Drosophila melanogaster: one gene and its partner. The protein of the gene in region 2 interacts with the protein of the main gene of each other region in a pairwise test. Each region holds a gene or a part of one and is shown on either strand. Other genes may lie near its edges.

Evidence for each region.
Region 1: the proteins of grnd (region 2) and Cpr50Cb interact in a two-hybrid assay, tested with the Drosophila melanogaster proteins (one large-scale study listed by BioGRID).

The regions. Positions count from the first base shown.
Region 1 is NT_033778.4:13,791,374-13,800,687, reverse strand, and holds the start of Cpr50Cb (cuticular protein 50Cb), read right to left. Parts: upstream 5,912-9,314; 5' UTR 5,750-5,911; intron 5,584-5,749; 5' UTR 5,513-5,583; coding exon 5,483-5,512; intron 1-5,482.
Region 2 is NT_033779.5:18,482,003-18,491,350, reverse strand, and holds grnd (grindelwald), read right to left. Parts: upstream 5,935-9,348; 5' UTR 5,384-5,934; coding exon 5,149-5,383; intron 4,726-5,148; coding exon 4,417-4,725; intron 4,335-4,416; coding exon 4,153-4,334; 3' UTR 3,330-4,152; downstream 1-3,329. Other genes in the region: kon (kon-tiki), read left to right, coding at 1-531, 602-1,505, 1,570-3,277; CG10283 (uncharacterized protein), read left to right, coding at 7,382-7,457. UniProt on the Drosophila melanogaster protein: Acts as a receptor for TNF-cytokine egr. Plays a role in activation of JNK signaling and is required for egr-induced apoptosis, including in wing imaginal discs during development. May also play an egr-independent role in cell proliferation.

The DNA of each region.
Region 1 (9,314 bases), on a different chromosome or scaffold from region 2:
ATTTGATCACGACCCAGTTTACAGAGTCGGATGCCGAATTACAGCGATCCGCTTAGATGTGTCTATGTATTTATGACAATCGCCTTTTGAACGCGGCTTAAATGGCAAACTCGAGTGTCTGGAGCTGAGCTCAGTTGATTTATGGGCGGTTAGCATTTAATATGCTTAAGCCGATCGCATCGGATCGGATCGCAATAGTTTATGGTGGGCAATAAAAACGTTTACGCCAAAATGTCTTCATAAAAATCCAGATGGTCGGATGTGTCGCTGCAGTTGCATTTGTTTAATTAATTTAATTGGTCCCCCTGTCTGGGAAAAGAGTTTAGATGTTGCTTTCAGATCTTGCTGCAATGGCATTTTGTTTGTTGTTTGTTTTTTTCGGGCTGTTATTAAGACGTCATCGGGGAATGGAAGCACATATATGTATAGATACATAGATGGATTTTACAAGAGTTGCATCATTTTGGAGCGGCGGCACCCCTAGAAAACTCCAGCAGCATTCTGCAACGCCCACTCGTGGGTCGATGATGAGGTTTGGCTGGCTTCCTACTTATGGATGCCATGTTGTCTTAATTTATGGAATTTTTGCACATTTTTTTTGTTGTGCCGTATCTCACCGCAGCTGCTTCCCAGCAATTACCAGAGCAGCACAACCGAAAAAAGTCCCCTACATAGATGTTAGATTAACATGCACTTGCAACACACGACACGACTTCGCGTCGCGACTCGTTCAGTAGAACAACAAACATTTGGTTGACCTTTTCATCGCCATCTACATCTGCATCGCTTTTGCTGCTCTGTTGCATGTTGCATGTTGCTGTGCGGTTTTTGCTTTTTTTTTTGTGTTTCCAAGCTGCTCTCCCCCTCGTTTGGGGGCATTGAAATGCAAATTTGGCAAAATAAAAGTTAATGGGCCAAGTGAATGGCAGGCGGCGGCGGGAGAAGAGAGCTTGCAATGGGAAATGACTTTTATTGCAGTTTTTCAGTTCGCCGCTTGAGTCTTTTGTTGCAACTTGCAACTAGCAACTGGCAACTTGCAACTTGCTGGCAACTCAGATTCGATTTCAATCAGCTCTTTGCGCTTTCCTTGTGCAATTTGCACCCAATGTTTCCAGCTGTTTGTCACAGAGTCACGTGCCCGCTGGATACAAGGACAATGCCAAAGATCAAAGGTTGGCCAGCTTGTCTCACGACTTGGGCCTCCTTGGGGATTCACCTGTGATAAGTCAATTTCTTTTCGCCTGTTTATCGGCAGATCTTCAGCTAGTATGTTCCTCTTCTACACTACATTAACCCTATTTAACCCGAATTAAATAACACACTTCAATGCACAAAAGCCGCCGGCTGTCCATAAAGATATTAACCTTTCAAATACCCAAAAAACGGGTGAGAAAAAACTTATAAATTATATGCTACGATCGAATACTTCAAGTAGTTGTTTATGACCAACTATGCATTTGCAAGCTGTTCATGTGCAATTACTTAAAATGTTATAAAAACTATGTGGGAGCTTTTTTGTCTCATAAAAACCGATTATTAGGTAAATGTGGTATTATGGTTGAATTATGGATTTAATTAGTTTTTAGTTTCTATGCTTATAGTTTTGGTATAACCATTTGATGTATAACAAAAAATCCAAATCGAATGAAAATTATGAGCTTTTTTTAAGCCAAAATTGTTGTGCAGAAACCACAACTACCGAAATTGTTGCACACTAAAAACCAAGTACAACTTTTTCCAGAACTATTTCTCTGCCATTTAAATGCTAGAATTTCGGTTAAAAACCCCAGTGAACTAATTTTCCAATTGCCAGCTGTTGTGGACCCACAAAAGCGCCGACGAAATAACACTTGCAGCCAGAATAGTGCAATTAAAAATTCCTTGCCTAAGGGAAACGGAGGAGAAATGCCTCTTATTCACATTGCGCATACGCCACGTTGGACGCTCTGGTTTTGGTTGGGCAATTAGCGAATTCAGAGGCGGAGGCTGGGCTTTTGTAATCAGCTGAAATTTCGATTTAATTAGATTACCACACAAACACACACACACACACACAAAGGCGCAGATGCTTGGCTGGTTACCATTTCCCCGCAGAAGCCCCTCATCCAACTCATACTACATATATGCTGCTGCACTTGCCGCTTGCTCAAGCGTCATTAATTTTTTGCCATTTGGGTTTTCTTCGCTTGGATTTTTTTTCCCCCCCGCATTCGAGCCATTGCCAAAGACAATAAAACCGCACAAAGCTACAGCAAATATCGGTGAAGCCGCAAAATTGCATACTTCCAAGGCAGAAGAATGGGTCTGAGCGCCCATTCGACGACCCCCGGGCTCAATTACCTAAGCACGGATCAGCTTTGAGGCAATGCCAATCGGCATCAAGCGAAATCTGGCAAATCTGCCAAATTATTTCAATTAAAATTGAATTTGTAATGCAAGGGTAGAGCCTGTGCGAAATGACGAATGGGGGAATACGCTGCTATAAATTGGAAGTTTATAAAAATAATAATGGGCTTGTTGTTTGAAATATTTGGATTCACGGATGTGCAACTTCTATTGATAATTTGATAATTTGTAGAATTTTAGCAGGAGCCCAACGAAATGCAAATATCCCTTTGAAATACCCTCCACACATCCAACATTCATTGGGCAATCGCTTACACTCGAATCGCCAGCAGTGCAGCGATGAGCCAATGAAAGACTTTTGGCCAGACATGCGATATATTGGCCATAATCAGGCGGCTCTAATCAGAATCGGAGGCAGCATTGCATTGACCCATGCCGGCATTCACAATTGCCCATTCGCTGCGGCCGGCGAATGCAACAATTCAGCATTTGTAGAATGCAGAGTGCGGAATGCAGAATGCAGAATGCAGAATTAGCAGCTTCGACTTTCGGCTTTTGCCAGCTCATCATCATCATCAGCAGCAGCAGCAGCAGCAGCACCATCATCGGACGGACTCAAATATCAAACTGTGAATATTTTAGGTTTGTCATTTGAAATTCAAAAGCGTGCCCGAATGAATGCCAGTCAATGCTACCAATCGTTTCTCGAATTCTTTGCCACCAGTTCTGCAATTTTCGCGTGCGAAAATGAGCAGCTGGAATCATGGGCATTAATATGCAGCAGCAGTTGGGCATTACTAGCTGGTGTGGGTGCTCGACGTATTCGTACTCTGTACCCTATAGTTGGCTAGCTGGGTAGTTGGCCAGTTGAGTCTCCCCCGGGCTGAAATTAACATGTAAAACATGCTCGCCCCGATGTTCTCAAAAGCCCGTGCACTCGACTGGCCAGCGGCCATTTGTCTATCGAGTGTCTGCCTTTTGGTGGGCGGATGTGGCAGTGGGTGGTTGGGCTCCTGGTTTTTATTTTTGGCTTGGTACGCTTCCGTGCCTGCTGTTATTCGCCCAGTTCGGGCCAAAACAAGAATGGTAAAAAAAAAGGAGAAGAAAATAAGGGGAATATAGCGGCATTGGGGAAATGGAGAATCGCTGGTGAAAAGTCAAAAAGTTACAAGCGGCAAATTACACGCGTCTGGCTGGAGTTCTACACTCTGCTCTCAAACTCTATTCCTTTGCTATCGTCTGGTGTACCTTTTGGAAGTTATCTGCTTGGCAGACCAGACGCATCAGAGATGGAGGAGTGCACTGCGAGAAAAACCGCTGAAAAAAAACATGGCTAATAGAAGAACATTTAAGATCTAACACTTTGGCCTCAAACATTGCATATATATTGCGTTTATTTTAACTACTAGTTATGCTCGTCCATTAATCACGATTACGTTAATCGTAAAAATTCATTCGAGTAATTACATGATGTATGACCAATTAAATTTTAATTAGATATTGATTATGTCTTCTTTGAAAATCTTCATACATTTGAATGGCTTTCATTGAGTACCTATTAATATAATTTTATATCTCAATCTTTTTAGACACTTTTGGTTTTTGAAGAAATCTAATTTTTCTCCTGTGTGCTCACGTAACGCGGAATGGGCGGAGGTACATTGGATGGATTCCAGACAGTGTGGTCTGCCGTCTGGACCTGCATTGCATCCAAGTGTCGCACCAACAATTTAACACGCCCCAGTTACAAAAAATAAAAGGACATCAAGGAGCAGCCAGCGAAACTCGCGTCTGTTTTATTTTGTTGCCTGCTTAAGGGCGTCGTCCCAAAACGCGATTCAAAATGCTTTAACAATGGCGAACAAGTGAAAGTATTTCGCAGTTTACAAGTGTGCTCTTGATTGCGGGTTAACTTCTGGACTTCCAGGAAAAGTATTCAATACTGTAATTTCACAATAAAATTGTGAGAATATGGAGAATTTCCAAAGCGAAATGTGTAAATTAATAGGTAACAGAAAGGATTTTGGATCACCTAGAAATTTCTTAGTTGCACAACTCTTTCTGTGTCAATTTACAGCAATTTGAAACAAATTATATAAATATTTTTACGAAACTATATTAGTAAAGTATAAAGTATATTTTTCAACAATTTGATGAAAAAAAACTTGTGTCAATTTAGCACCAGCTAAGAAAAGTTTGCCTACAAAATAAAGTCAAGTTGGAGCCTTATATATTTGCAATTGTTCAAGGGGAGCAAAAAGGTTTGCAATTTTCCTCAGATGATGCCTAAATACGAAAGGGGAAATATATTACCAACATGTGTCCTCCGCCTTACAACCTTTTAGCCTTCTCCGAAACTCAAGTGTTTAGTTAGGAACAATCAGGGAGTATTGCTTAGATTTGGGGCGTATTTTACGTGGCACTTGGCAAACGCAGATGTTGCCAAATATTGAATGCGTATCCATGGAGGAGTACGTACAAGTACATATGTATATATATATATATATATTAACCAGAGCGGAGTGGAGCACTTAAGTGTCTTTGATTATTTGCAATTTGTTCGATTCGGCGGGGTTACTTTGGCCCCTTCGCCACTTGACTTTCGTGTGTGTGTGTGTGTGGACTTGGGTTTTGATTATGATGATGATGATGAGAGGCTCTGTGGCAGACGTGTGGCAAGTTATGCAATCATTTTCGTTGCCATTGACGGCAAGTGTTACCAAAAAAAAACGAAAAAAAAGGAAGGCAAACAGTTTGCCAGGCACTTGAAACAACCAGTTTGATGGGTAGTTGCCTTCAGTTCTCCTAGCAAATCTCATTTAAACTTTCCCCAAAAGCCGCAGCAGAAAAATGACATTGTAGACGAAAAAGGACACTGAGTGACCACGGGTCATTTTTCCCTGCCAGCGATAAACAAATTTGACATATAACAAGCTTAGCTTGCTGGCCTTTCCACACACATACACATACATGCAAACATACATACATATATAGTTTCGCTTTAGCCAAAGGACACGCCTGCGAAATCTCATATGATTTGTTTGGCCAACTGATTTATGTAGGCTTAGCTATGTTTTTTTTTTCCAGGCCCAGAAATACATGTCCTTGTTTTATGTACGTATGTATAAATACTCACAAGCAGGACGAACGACTTGAAGGACATCATTTTGTTAGTTGAGTTTCGATTTTACGTTCACAGACGATGGCAAAAAGTAGTGTATCCACAAACGCCGCTGGCTGAAGTTGAAATTGAATTGAATTAAATTAAATTCATTAGAGTTGTCAATTATTTCATTTATATTGTTTCGAGTTAATCGAGTGTCTTTTGTGTTATTTTTATGATTATTGCACACTATTTAATTTGTAGTCCTTCGCTTGCCACAATAGTTGTATTAACTCTTACTTTCACCGGGCGGGGGAGGGTTTTATTTTTTTATCACCGGTTGGATTTCTCAACTAGGAGGGGGCCTCAGTTAAAGAGGAGGTGGTTTTATCTTTTTAGGTTCGGCTAGATTGATTTCCTAGACAACCGCACGAAGTACACGAACGTTTTGAATTAGGTTAGACAATGGAGATGCGCTTGCTTTTTATAATAAACGCTCAAAGACGCTGGCAGCGACGTCGGCGGCGACGGCGACTGCGGCAGCGGCGGTAGCAGCGGCGTTCGCGTTGCCAACTGCACCTAAAAGTAACGAAAAAGCGGTTTGAACAATTGAGGCAAGTCTAGCGCCTAACTTCTAGATCATCTGCCTCCGTGGAGCTGGAGCCAAGAGCATCCACATCCACGAGTCTCTCAGAATGGCCCAAAGAGAGCGCAGCGTTGCTCTCACCGTTTTGGCCAAGTCTTGGTGTTGAGGTGGTGAAAAATGTTGCAGATCATCGCCGTGGCACGATCATTACGATGATGGGTAACGAGATGATAAATGAATGGCTGGCACGATGATGATGAAGCTCGGGCGGATGTATAACAAGATGAGTTCGAGTGGAGAGCCTGCAACGCCCCGAATGACTTCATTAAATACTCGGCCAAATTTGATATTTAAGCCAAGCTTTTATGAAGTCTGGGCCCTCGGGCGATGCAGTTGCCATCGAGACGATACGAAAATGTCACTGGGAATGTCAGATGATAGGTTTCGTTTTAGCCTCCAAAGATACAGTCGCCCTTTTTCGAAATATCTATATATTTATTTTTGTTTGTTTTTTCTTCTTTTTTTTTTTTTTGCCATTTGGCCTTTGGGAAAGCATCAGAACATAGAATAAGTTTGGTGAGAAGTACGTGATGCGGTTGCCCGGGGAAAATTGCACAAGCTGCACAAACGTGTTCATGTGGCGTCCCAATTTCCCGCAGCACCTCTGCCAAAATGCAATCTATGACGTGAGGCTCATGCCAAAGATCCGTAGCCGAGGCCCCGAAACTCATCCATTGGCCATTGCACAAGGCTGGCAGACGTGTCGAGTGCCTTTGGGCCAACTTCCTCCTTCCAACCAACATCAACCGCATGGCTCCTTTTCTTCCGTCAGGCCTCAAATCCCATCCCATAACCAATTAACCTTGAATGTATCACAGCGCCTCTGTACGAGCCGAGATTAAATAACAATTAAAAGCAATCCGATGACTGATTTCAGAGTTTCTTCACATTTTTATTGACCACTTGCGAGGTGGCGATGTGTGCGTGCGTGCGATATTAAAATTAGATATTGAAATTATTATGGGGAGCAATCAATCGAAAATAGCTACACTTACAATCAACCCATCTTATAATCAGTGATGCGAAAATCTTGTACCAAAATCGAAATGTTATTACCAATTACACTGGGCTATGACTAAAACTATTATTAATATAATATTATATATTTGTAATATTAGATATGGTATTAGTTTTCAATAGCTGCAATCTTAAAGATACTCTAATATCTCAATATCTTATTTTTATAAGCAATTTTATTAGATTTTATTAGTTTGGTACCCATTTTCCAAGGTAACATTTCGTGTACCTAAGATGTTACCTCTATCAGCGCCGCTTACACCTGCTGGCAATCTTCAATGGACCGCTGTGAAAAGTAATTGAACAACTTTTGGTTACTTTTAACTTTAGATTTCCGTGACACTTGAGCTGCGGATACACATGTGCGCGCGTGTGTGTATGTGGTGTGTGTGTATCTCAAACGGTCTTCTTCACGCGGAGGCGAACGTACTGTCAAAACGATGTCTTAACAACATAATACCCGCCGACAATCGGGGCCAACTGGCAACTGAAAACTACCAACTGGTCCGATTGTTCGGATTGTTGGGATTGTTACCCATATCGCAAACTCTGGGGGCAAATTGAAATTTCTTTTGAGACGCTCTCGAAATCAAGTGCAATCGTTGGTAGCTGCGATTACGAAAGGATTTCGACTTAAAATGTAATTAGAGCAGTGTGATGGGGCGAATTCGATATTATATAAGGCCGCGCTGAAAATTCCCTTTTTGATTTGTTCAACAATAACTTGACATCAATTGGGCAACTTTTGTTTCGCTGTCATTGCCTTTCGGCCGGCAGCTGTTGCCACCGTTGCAGTCTCGGTTTCTTCGGCATTTCGATCATTTTTCAAAACGTCCAAAGTAATAAAGTTTTGCAAATTTCCCGCTTTTAATTCATCAAGTGGACACTCGAGGGCTCCGGCTCCAAAGCAATGCGAAACGGAAGCAAAACTTAGTCAAACATTTCGTGGGCTTCAATAGCCATTTGTGCATTATTTCACTTATTTTTTCTCGTTTCTGTCGCCCAGCTGTTGACATTTTAAACTTTATTGAATTGTTGCAGGCAAGTGGAAGACGAAATAAAAAAAAAATTAACATTTAAAAGAACAGACTCAAATTCTTCGGCAGAAGCATTTAAGATGATTTTTTCCTCGAATTTGTTTTGCCCATTTCGTGCAACATTCAGGCGAATCACCTGTTGATGCTTGTTGCACGTTGTTGCTGCTGCCGCTGCTGCTGTTGCTGCTTTTAGTGTTGCAGTTGCTGTAGAACCAAAATAAATTCCAATAGCCCCAGTCAGGCGCACCTTTTTCAAGCTAAAAATGAGTGAATTAGAATAGCCAACTATGTAATTGCCGCATTTTATTGCCACCAGCATTGGATGTTGCTGCTGCTGCAGCAGTTGTTGCTGTTGCTGCTGCCATCGCTGGCATTGTTAGTGTTGTCGCGACCATTGTTGCAACTAAGCGCGGTGTTTTTTTTGTTGCAGCGGCAACTTGATGTTGCTGCCGCCATGGCCCTCTGAATTTGGTGTGAGAAGTGGTCGAAAACGCGGCGATCTTTGTTTTATTTTCCAGTTTTGAGTCCAGACGGATGATTTGCATTTATTTCGGCGCGGAGGCGCGTTTCTTACCATTTGCTATTTATAGACTAAATGTCTTGGACTTCTGATGGAATAAATGGAGTTTTCGATAGACTCGCGGTGAAGGCGCATCAAATGTCGTCCGATTCGCTTGGCATTTCCCCCACGATCATCGATTTTCTAACTGGCATTCGAAGTACAGGTAAAATAATTTGCATAATATATTTCTTAAATTTTGTTTTGTACTGTTCCTGCTTGTATTAATTTCTGCTGTGCTCATTAAAAACTTGTAGTGTAATGATCGCCTGAAAGTTGCTAACGGCTTCTTTGATTGCTTTCATTACGGCCATCTCCTTTTGGCACTTCCTTCTGATTTGATTTGATCTCTTTGCCGGAGTTTCCTGTTGATTGCTCTCATTATTCCAGCGAGCAACTGTGATAAGTTTTTCCAGCTATGCTGCTGCTACTCCTGCAACAATCTTGGGGCTAAAGTCGAGCTTTCCCTGTCACTTGCCACACTTGCCACCATTTTTCTTAATGGAAATTTTCATGCTCTTGGCTTTTCTTTAGACAAATTAAGCGAATTTTTTCTGCGTTCACACCTTCCCCAACTGGTGCATCCTCATTGTCATCGTCATCTTC
Region 2 (9,348 bases):
TGAATACAGAAAAAATGTTTTATATTCAAGCAGGAGTTAACCAGTCTACAGATTACTTTGTGTTCGATGTTACCAATGGCATAACGTGGCTAAGGCAACTGATGATAAAGATCGTGATCATACCTGAAAAGCTATATATGCACTCAAATATTATTTCGGTTGTAGAGGGAAAGACTGTCCAACTAAATCCAACTGATATACAGCCTTATTCGGAATACTACCGCGGAAAGATTTTGGAGTACATAGTAACCATTACACCGAGCTCTGGTCACGTTTTGGCTGGAAACTCAAAGGTCAAAAGATTCACTCAAAAACAACTCGAACAGGGTAGCATACAGTATGTGCACAATGGCAGCGAAAATGCCACCGATAGCATTACATTGGTGGCCATGGCCAGGAACAAGGAGAGTGTTCCTTTCGAGCTGGAATTCGCTGTGGTTCAAGTGAACGACGAGGAGCCCATGATGGTCACCAATACGGGCCTGCAGGTGTGGAACGGTGGACGCTATGTCATCAAAAATACTGACCTGTGTAAGCTGAAAATTTATTGTATACCTAACTCAAAATTTAAATGTTTCATTTTTGTTATGATGCTTTTCAGTGGCTCAAGACTACGACACTCCACCGGAGAATCTTACATTTGTGGTGAATCACATATACGGCGGCTACTTGGCAAGGAAGTCAGCACCTCACCAAAAAATCGAACATTTCACCCAGGCTCAAATAAACCTCGAAGAAATATATTTCATGCACGACTCCAACTCCAGGAGAAACGAACTATCCTTTGTGGTAACAGATGGGCTATTTAACACCACCACCCAAATGTTGAATATTGAAATCAAGCCGATTGAAATTCTGGCCGAGCACAATGAAAATCTGCATGTTTTTCCATTAACCAAAAAACAAATTCTGCGTGACTACTTGCACTTTAAATGTTCAGATGAGGAACGAGAGATTAGATATAACATTACAGTTCCCCCAAGTCTGGGTCGCATTGTGAATGAGTTTATAGATAATGGTTTCACGAAGGAAGTCAGTGAATTTACCCAAAACGATGTAGACAATGGGCATATATTTTATGAACACACAGCTGTTATCATGGAGTTCAGGACCAATGATTCATTTTACTTCGATGTGGTTGCTGAAAGAAGCGATCGTCTATTGAATCAGAAATTCAACATTGAGATATCGGTTTCCTCAGGAGGCTTACTCAGATTTCTACCAGTTAATAAGCTCAATGTAGACGAAGGCGGTTCGGTGCCTATTAAGTTGGATTTCTCAAAGATTTTGGAGTATCTGAAAACGAAAGCTGGCATAAATAACCCTGAGTTGTTCATAGAAGCCATCCAAAAACCCACACACGGCAATATTGGTCTGGGTCATGAGTTCAAGCATATGCAGAGATACCACCCAAGCGATTTCTTTACCAAAAAAGTCTACTACATACACGATCATTCGGACACTTTGGAGGATACTATACTGATGTCGGTTTACCTGACACAAGGGTGAGTCTTCCTTAAATTTCACTTAAGTAAACAGTTATTGTAATAAGATACGTTTTCATTTCAGGAACATTTTTCTGTGCAATTTGACAATTCCCGTTTCCATCAACCCCATTAACGATCAACCCTTCCATTTGGTCACCCACCTGCCCCAAATGACAGTCGTTGAGGGTGAGAATCGGACTATCACCAGAAATGATTTGCTAACCGAAGATGCAGATACACCTCCTGAAGAAATTATATACGATGTGATGAGTGGTCCTACTTTGGGGGTACTTAGAAAGATCACAAACGATGGACGCCCTGAGGATCTATTAGCTTTCTCCAATCAGTTTACCCAAGCTGATATTAACAACGATCGCATTATATATGTCCACTTTGGAATGCCACAGTCCACGACGTTTTGCTTCACCGTATCCGACGGGCAATCAAATCCTGCATACGAAATATTTACCATTAAAATAGATTCTATTCATCTGCAACCGTCAGCAATGCAAGCACCAGTGAAGGTTCAGCAAGGAGCTACTACTGCTCCAATGAGATTGGATCATATTGGAGTGTCCACAAATGTGCATATGGAAAGGTTGTCTTACAACGTCACAAACTCGCCGCTTTTTGGCATTATAGTGTACAAACATCAACCAACTCTGAGGTTCACGCAACAACAGTTGGAAACATCACAGATAAGCTATATGCAAACAGACCTGAACCGATCGAATGACTCCTTCCAGGTGAGTGCCTATGTTCCGGGCACCAATTATGTTGCTCAGGTCGATGTGGTAATGGAGGTGGAACCTGTAATACAAATCAATGATATAGTAATGAAGGAAGCTGAATCCTCGGGTGGTAAAATAAAGCTTATTACCTCTTTGGACAACGATAATCCTTTGTCGTTGAAACTAAATAAATTCAACCCCAAGTTTGTGATCACTAGAATGCCATCAACTGGGCAAATCAGAAAGATAATCCGAAGCACGGGACTGACAACCGATGGCCAGAGTGATAGATCCACGAATATATTCTCTTATAAAGAACTTCGAAGTGGCGTCGTCTACTTTGTGCCCCATGAATCGGTCGAGGAAACAGAAGCTGATCATGACAGTTTTGATTATCAATTGCTAATCAAAACAGTTCAGCCGGCACAGGCCACCGTATCGATTGAGTATAGAAGTCGTGTTGAGGAAACCGAGACGGTTCATTTGGGCAGTGCAGGATTATCCATTAACTATTTAGCCATAGGATGTGCCATCTTTATCGTGTTGATATGCCTGCTTATCGTGCTGTTGATATTAAAGATCAGGAAACTGAGAAAGCACAAGGCAGATATATCCAAGGATCAGCCGCCGGCGCTACCGTGTCCACCAGACTTGACTTCTGTGAGTCCGCAACACCATCTGCACCATCATCATGGCCACCATTACGCAAGTTCCGAGGCGGATTCCGTGCCGGCCACAGGAAATTCAACACCGTTACCGGGTTTCAGCAATATTCCCCATTGCAAGATAATACCCGTGGAGTCGTACAAACATGAGTATCCCGACTACGATCCCGATGAGGAGGAGACGGACGATCAGTGCGATCCGCAGCAAATGATGCTGCCGCAGAGATATAATCCTTATCACATGGAGCACGACGCCTGGAGTTCGTCCTGCGATATGGCGAATGATTTTGCTGGCTATGCCTCTGTGCCACAAAGTATTTCCGGATCGGTCAGCTCACCGCCCTCGGCCCCGCCAACAAATCCACTACTTAGGCGGAATCAGTATTGGGTGTAAGGTTTAGAAGGATGTTCTGCAATAAAGGGATCAATACAAGCGTTTCCAATTCGATCGGAATTAGTCCTAGGTTATTTATTTAAATATAAGCTTACGTTTAAGGCTGATTTATGAGATTCGTTAGGAAAAGTGAAGCATTTTATATACGAAAACATTAATTATAGTTTGGAAACAAGCACACATACATATCTGGCGTGTCATATACAAACGATTAGCATTAAGGACGAGAACAAGAGTTATACTCAAAAAGCCAACTTAACTTAGCCTTAGAATTGTGTTTGCCAACGTGGAATACTTTTTACAATAAATGACAATACTTTTAAGCGTAGTTCCCGTGTCTTATTTCAAAACTCAAAAAATTTTCAGGAAGATTTATTTCGCATTCGTAATTATTTTAACCGGATGGAAGTGTGTTGAGAAACGTTTGTGGTGATTGCGAATGAATTGGTTTTCCCCCATATTACCATTTACAAAACTTTTCCACATAAAAAACTTAACATGATAATAAATTGAACATTATAAATATATTTCTTAACAGTTATAAATATGTCTCTTCGTTCATAGTTGTGATGTTGTAAGTATTTTCGTTGCTTTAAGGAAAATATTAAAGTAAAGAGAAAAAAGTTCCTTTACATATAATTTCATACAGATCGAATATAAGTTTTCAGGGCCACATTGGGTTATCAAAAATATGTCCCAACATATATAAACCTATTAATTAAGGTTTATATTCTACAGATATGCGTATATATTCCATATTGATAGAAGACTTCTTGCTTAATAACTATGAAAAATATCACTAGTTTTAATGTGGTGCACATTTTGCTTTCGCTGGACTGATTTAGAAGTAAGAGTTTTCAAGTACTTGTATGGCCTTAGAAAGCGACGGGAATCGTCGCTGCTGAGGGTTTCTCGGAAACCGGCGTTACGACCATGGCCTGATTATCGTATCCGTATCCGATCTCCGTCATAACCGTTGTGGGCGTGGTACTGTTTTCCGCCGGATAGCGAGTGCTCACCGGCGTTGTCATAGTCACAACGGAACCCTCGGCAGCACCTGTAATAAATCATTGCAGGTATAATGTGTACATTGGGAAGTGTTATTGGAAAAACCCGGACAGGTAGATCCTTACACTTACCTGCCACACTGTAGATCTGTGATTGTGCCCGCTCAAGGTCGCTGCCGGGATGGTTAATGGCATTCAGATTCTGTATGGTGGTAGCATTAAGATCCTTTCCATTTGCAGTTGCCGGATGAGGGTAGGCCTTCGATTGGAGACGGCGCATCAGCTTCTGGAAGCACCGATTGCCTATCAGCCATCGAAGGAACTGAAACGCGCAACGAAGCGCAATCAGGACGAGAAGGATAGTCAGCAGCAAGAGGATCAGCTGCTGGGTATTCTGGATGTCCAGCATCTCGGCTTTTAACGGCTCAAATGTCTTGTAAGCTGTGGGTTGATAAAGAAATTAAATAATATCGCTACTATTATCGTTTTAAGTAAATAATAATTGATAAAACACGGGAACGTTTTTGATAACTCGTTGTACATAGTCAGATAAAAATTGCAAATGCAACTGGCCTTATCTTGCCATTACAACTTTTACAAATCTTTTACACTAAAAAAATTATTATAAAGCTAGTTTCAACAAATCATTTTTATTATAAAAATGTACATTCTTTAAATCTTTAAAATACCCCCTATTTTAGTCAACTCATGGGTGATGAGTTAATCACCCGCTGAAGCAACTGTAATTGAAATACAATTAAGTCCAGCTGGAAAAACCTGAACTTGCATAGAACCCGCCAAATTACCCTATGGATCGTGAGTTAATCTGAGGTAATCTTTTGGAAATCTTTGAATTCTACTTGCCTGAACATTCCTTGGCGCACAGAAACGCATCGTAGTTGTGGGTTTGATTATTGCAGACCTCGATGCACGGATGACATCTCTCCGTTGCAACATAGCAAAATTCATTGACCGGATGACAGATCGTGCCATGGCAATCCCTACTCTCTCCATTGGCCGCAGCTACCAAGGAAACACTTGGAATCAACGGAACTCCACCAATGGAGAGCGATAGGGCACTCAACTTCCTGACCGACATTTGAGGTATTTTATAATGTGTGCTTAATTTACTTGTTATGGGTATTTGGTTTTGTAGCGAGCTCGTTCCGCTAAGTTTGATCGAAGTTTACATTAGCACTGTTACAACTTTTTCCTCGTTTTAAGGTTTTTGTTTTGTTATTTTTAAACGTATCCAAAGTATGATTCATACACCAGTAACGCGGCCCAGACGCTAACTGACTAACTTCTTTTTTAATTGCTGGCTTCTGGAGTCTGAGTATTTTGCGTTGCCCTTATACGTATAATCACATGTGTATTGGTGCAAACGAGTTTATCTTAGCCAAGTTTTACAGCAGTTTTCATAGTATTCCGGTTAGTTTCTCAACATTTTCACACATTTTTCTAGGGGATGTCCGGACACTTAATTATTAGGTTTAATTCTGTATTTTTTACACCAATATATTATATATTATATGATTTAATACGCTTTTTAACTTTAAACGTTTTTAGCCATCGTTCAGCGACGCGTTTTGAGCCACATTCAACTCGTTACTGACTGGAATGCCGCGATCGCTCGCTGTTACCAACAACTCAGCACTCGCACCGAGGCATCTATCTCAAATACACACTCATTCGCACCGTGACTTGACTTTTGTTTACCTTTTTCACGTCGATTGTAGATGCAAAAGTATCTGTATATCTATGCTGTGGCAAGTAATACAAGTATTTGTGTGTCTGCGATCGACTGTTTATTTTGCGCTATGAGTGAAATACTCCCGACTTCGGCATACTTTGAACCCGGCTTCAGTTTCTTAAATTTCGGCTGCGATTTGACTTATAAAAATAAATAACAACGAGAAGGTAGTGCCTCAAGAAGTATTTTATAGAGACTACTTGCTCACTCACTTTATTACCCAAGTTATCAATTAAAATAATAATAAAGTTTTATATGAATAAACGACAATATGTTTAAGATAACTTTTATTGAAATTCCCAGTATCCCAATATGAACTATACGTTTAAAGTTTTTTTTACAACATTACCTATTATTTAAATTTTAATTATAATACCTTACTTTCACAACTAACTAGCAGTCGTGATATTTATAAACAAGTTTCTAGCTACACAATTTTTATCTAATTAAATATGATTTTGGAATTTTTTAAGTGTAGCATTTGTTGAGGATTGAAACCTCGCTTAGCTAACGCAATGGTGTATGTCTTTACTAAACAGCAAATGCCATATACATAAATAAAAGAAATACTGAAATTCGTTGCTCCCAACTCATTTTGGAAAATTAAATAATAATAAAAAACCATATGTACATATATACCGTTTAATGAATTTATAAATCAATAGTAAAATTATAACTTTTTGTATTTAGATTTGAAATCTTTTTGAAACTTGGCAGCACTGTTTTGAGTTATTCTCTCTCCTCTCTCTTATTCTCTCTTCCATTGCAGTGCCGCTTTCGAGATACATTTGTATCGGCTTCCAGTTCCAGCGCCGCTTGCAGTATTATTGTGTCTTCCAGTTAGCTGGACTGTATGGCCAAGTCAAACAACATCCATTCGCTGAGCGGCTTTCGCTGTTGAATGAGCTGTTTTGCTGCTTTCGTGGAACGACGGCCGCCGGTTCGTTGCGTATCTTTGGGATACAATACCTAAATCAAATCGAATTTTGAATTGCAGCTGTCGTTGTTGCGCGCGTGTTGATGGTGGAAATTGTGGAATTATAAGCATTATATCTCGTGTGGAAGTGTGAAAGTGAAATAGTTGCACCGAGAGCGACGCAATTAGATGAAAATATAGTTTACTCACGCTCTGTATCGCCGCATCTATGTATCTATTTTGCCAGCCCGCTTCAACAAGTAAACCAACATAAATTAAAAATCAGTGGAGTGGAAGGCGCGTCCTTGAGCTACCCAATTTAAACACCTGTTTTAGAACGAGATACAGATATTCTATAGAGATTTGAGCCACCGAAAGAGACAGCCAGAGCCTGTTAGAAAGAGAAGGGTGGCGAGAGGAGGAGAGAGATGAATAATTTCACAACCACAACAGCAGCCGCACCACCAAAGGAAGCGCTGCCCCGATCAGGACATGTTAATGAGGGTAAGCATGGGTTAAGAACCGAACCGAAGCAAACCATTTCGAAATTGGTTGAACATGAACAATTTCGTACGGGGCCTTGGATAATTGGAAATTGATTGGGTTTGAGTGTAGCTATTGAGATGAAGGGGCTTTGGAATTGGGGCGGGGGGGGCATGAGCACCACATAGAAGTGATTAATTTGAGGTCTTTTAAAATTCCTCTTCAACGTTTTCTTCCCCTGACTTGGTATTTCTTTAACGATATGACCTCTCTAGCGATCAAATTAATTTTTAACAAATTTGTTGTATTTGTTGTCATTTATTGTTTCCATTTATTCATAAAGAAAGTCAGGCCCATTGTTTCGTTGAGAATTCTTCACAAAAAGTTCATTAAATATATATTGTCTTTACCCTTCTTGCAAAATTGAATATAAATCAAATTTGGAAATTAAACAAATATTTTTGTCTAATATATGCAAATATAAAAGGTTTTAGTCCACACATTTTATTCAATTTGGCATTTCTTTCAAGACATCACGAATTATAAATGTTCTAACGCTTTTCATACCCCATTCCAATATACATATCCCATTAATTCCACCGATCCGATATCTTTGAATGCCGACATCAGCCAAAAAAAAAAAACAAACACTCAAGTTCTCAGAACTTCTCCACTGTCGTTTGCGCCTTGGGGCTTAAATATAAGTTTTTTTCTGTTGATTCAGATGTAAACAAGCCATATCGAGCACGTTTTCCCTTATCGCATTCTACTTGACCTTATGTAATAATCAAAACATTTGCATAGAAAAAATGTTACAACATGAAAAGCTAGCTTATTCACCTCTTTGAATAAGCTCAATTAATTGAAAGCGAATACGAAATGCTCGATGACAAAGATTTGGCTGTTGTGCAAATCTCTTTTTTGGCTACTATGTGAACAATATTTGTTGTTATGCTAATGAAACAGATTGCCCAAAGAAGAAAAAATAATACACAGAAAACGCGAGCCGAATAAAACTTTCTCCACTCCCAGTAACAATCACAAGAAGTTGGCGAGTTTCCTCATTTTTTGGGGGGTTTTGAAAGTCTTCATGAGACGATAAACAAAAACAAAGACTTCCAGTCAGCAGCCGAAGAAACCGCATAGCGCAGACCAACGACCGAAAGCGGACAAAGCTGTGAAGAAGAGATTTCAGTTGAAAAATAAACAAACACCGAGCTCTTATATAGTTTTCTTTTAGAGCAATTGAGGGGAAGCCGAGCGATCCCCGCTACAGAAAGGGAAAATACATACTCATTTTCTTCTTTTTGGAGGTGCAAAAAATGATTGCCGCTAGCACTTTCCATTTAATGAATGCACCTGAAGAAAAATCAGTTATCTACCATTATAAAGATTTTGTTTTATAAAAGTATATACACATTATACTAGTCTAATTATATATATTGTAAAATAATGATTACAATAGAAGCGCAAATAGGGTAGGAAAAAATAAGTAATACTTGAAGATAAAATTCCAGCTTGATTAATAATAATAATATTTTCAGAAAAGATTTTATTCTTTATGTGTAAAGAAAATCTCGTTGAACTCAGAAATGTATTAAATAAGGTTTATATTAAAAATATGTTTGCTAATTGTTTTCAAAAAACTGTGGCTATTTGAAGAACCATAGACCACCGAATTCGATAAGTTTTTCGCACAGTGCAGAAATGCAAAAAGGCTGTTTCCCAGCATTTGTATCTTAAAGATGCAGCGCGTGCAGCAGGCAACAGCTGACGGTTAGCCGAGGGGATTGCAGCCGCTTCATTTGCGCCCAAGCACGCATGACAAAAGACCCCCACAAAGAGTCGGCCCTTGGTTGGAAATAGCCGTGCCTCCGACTGAAACTTACTCAACTGCTGGCCTCTTTTTTCC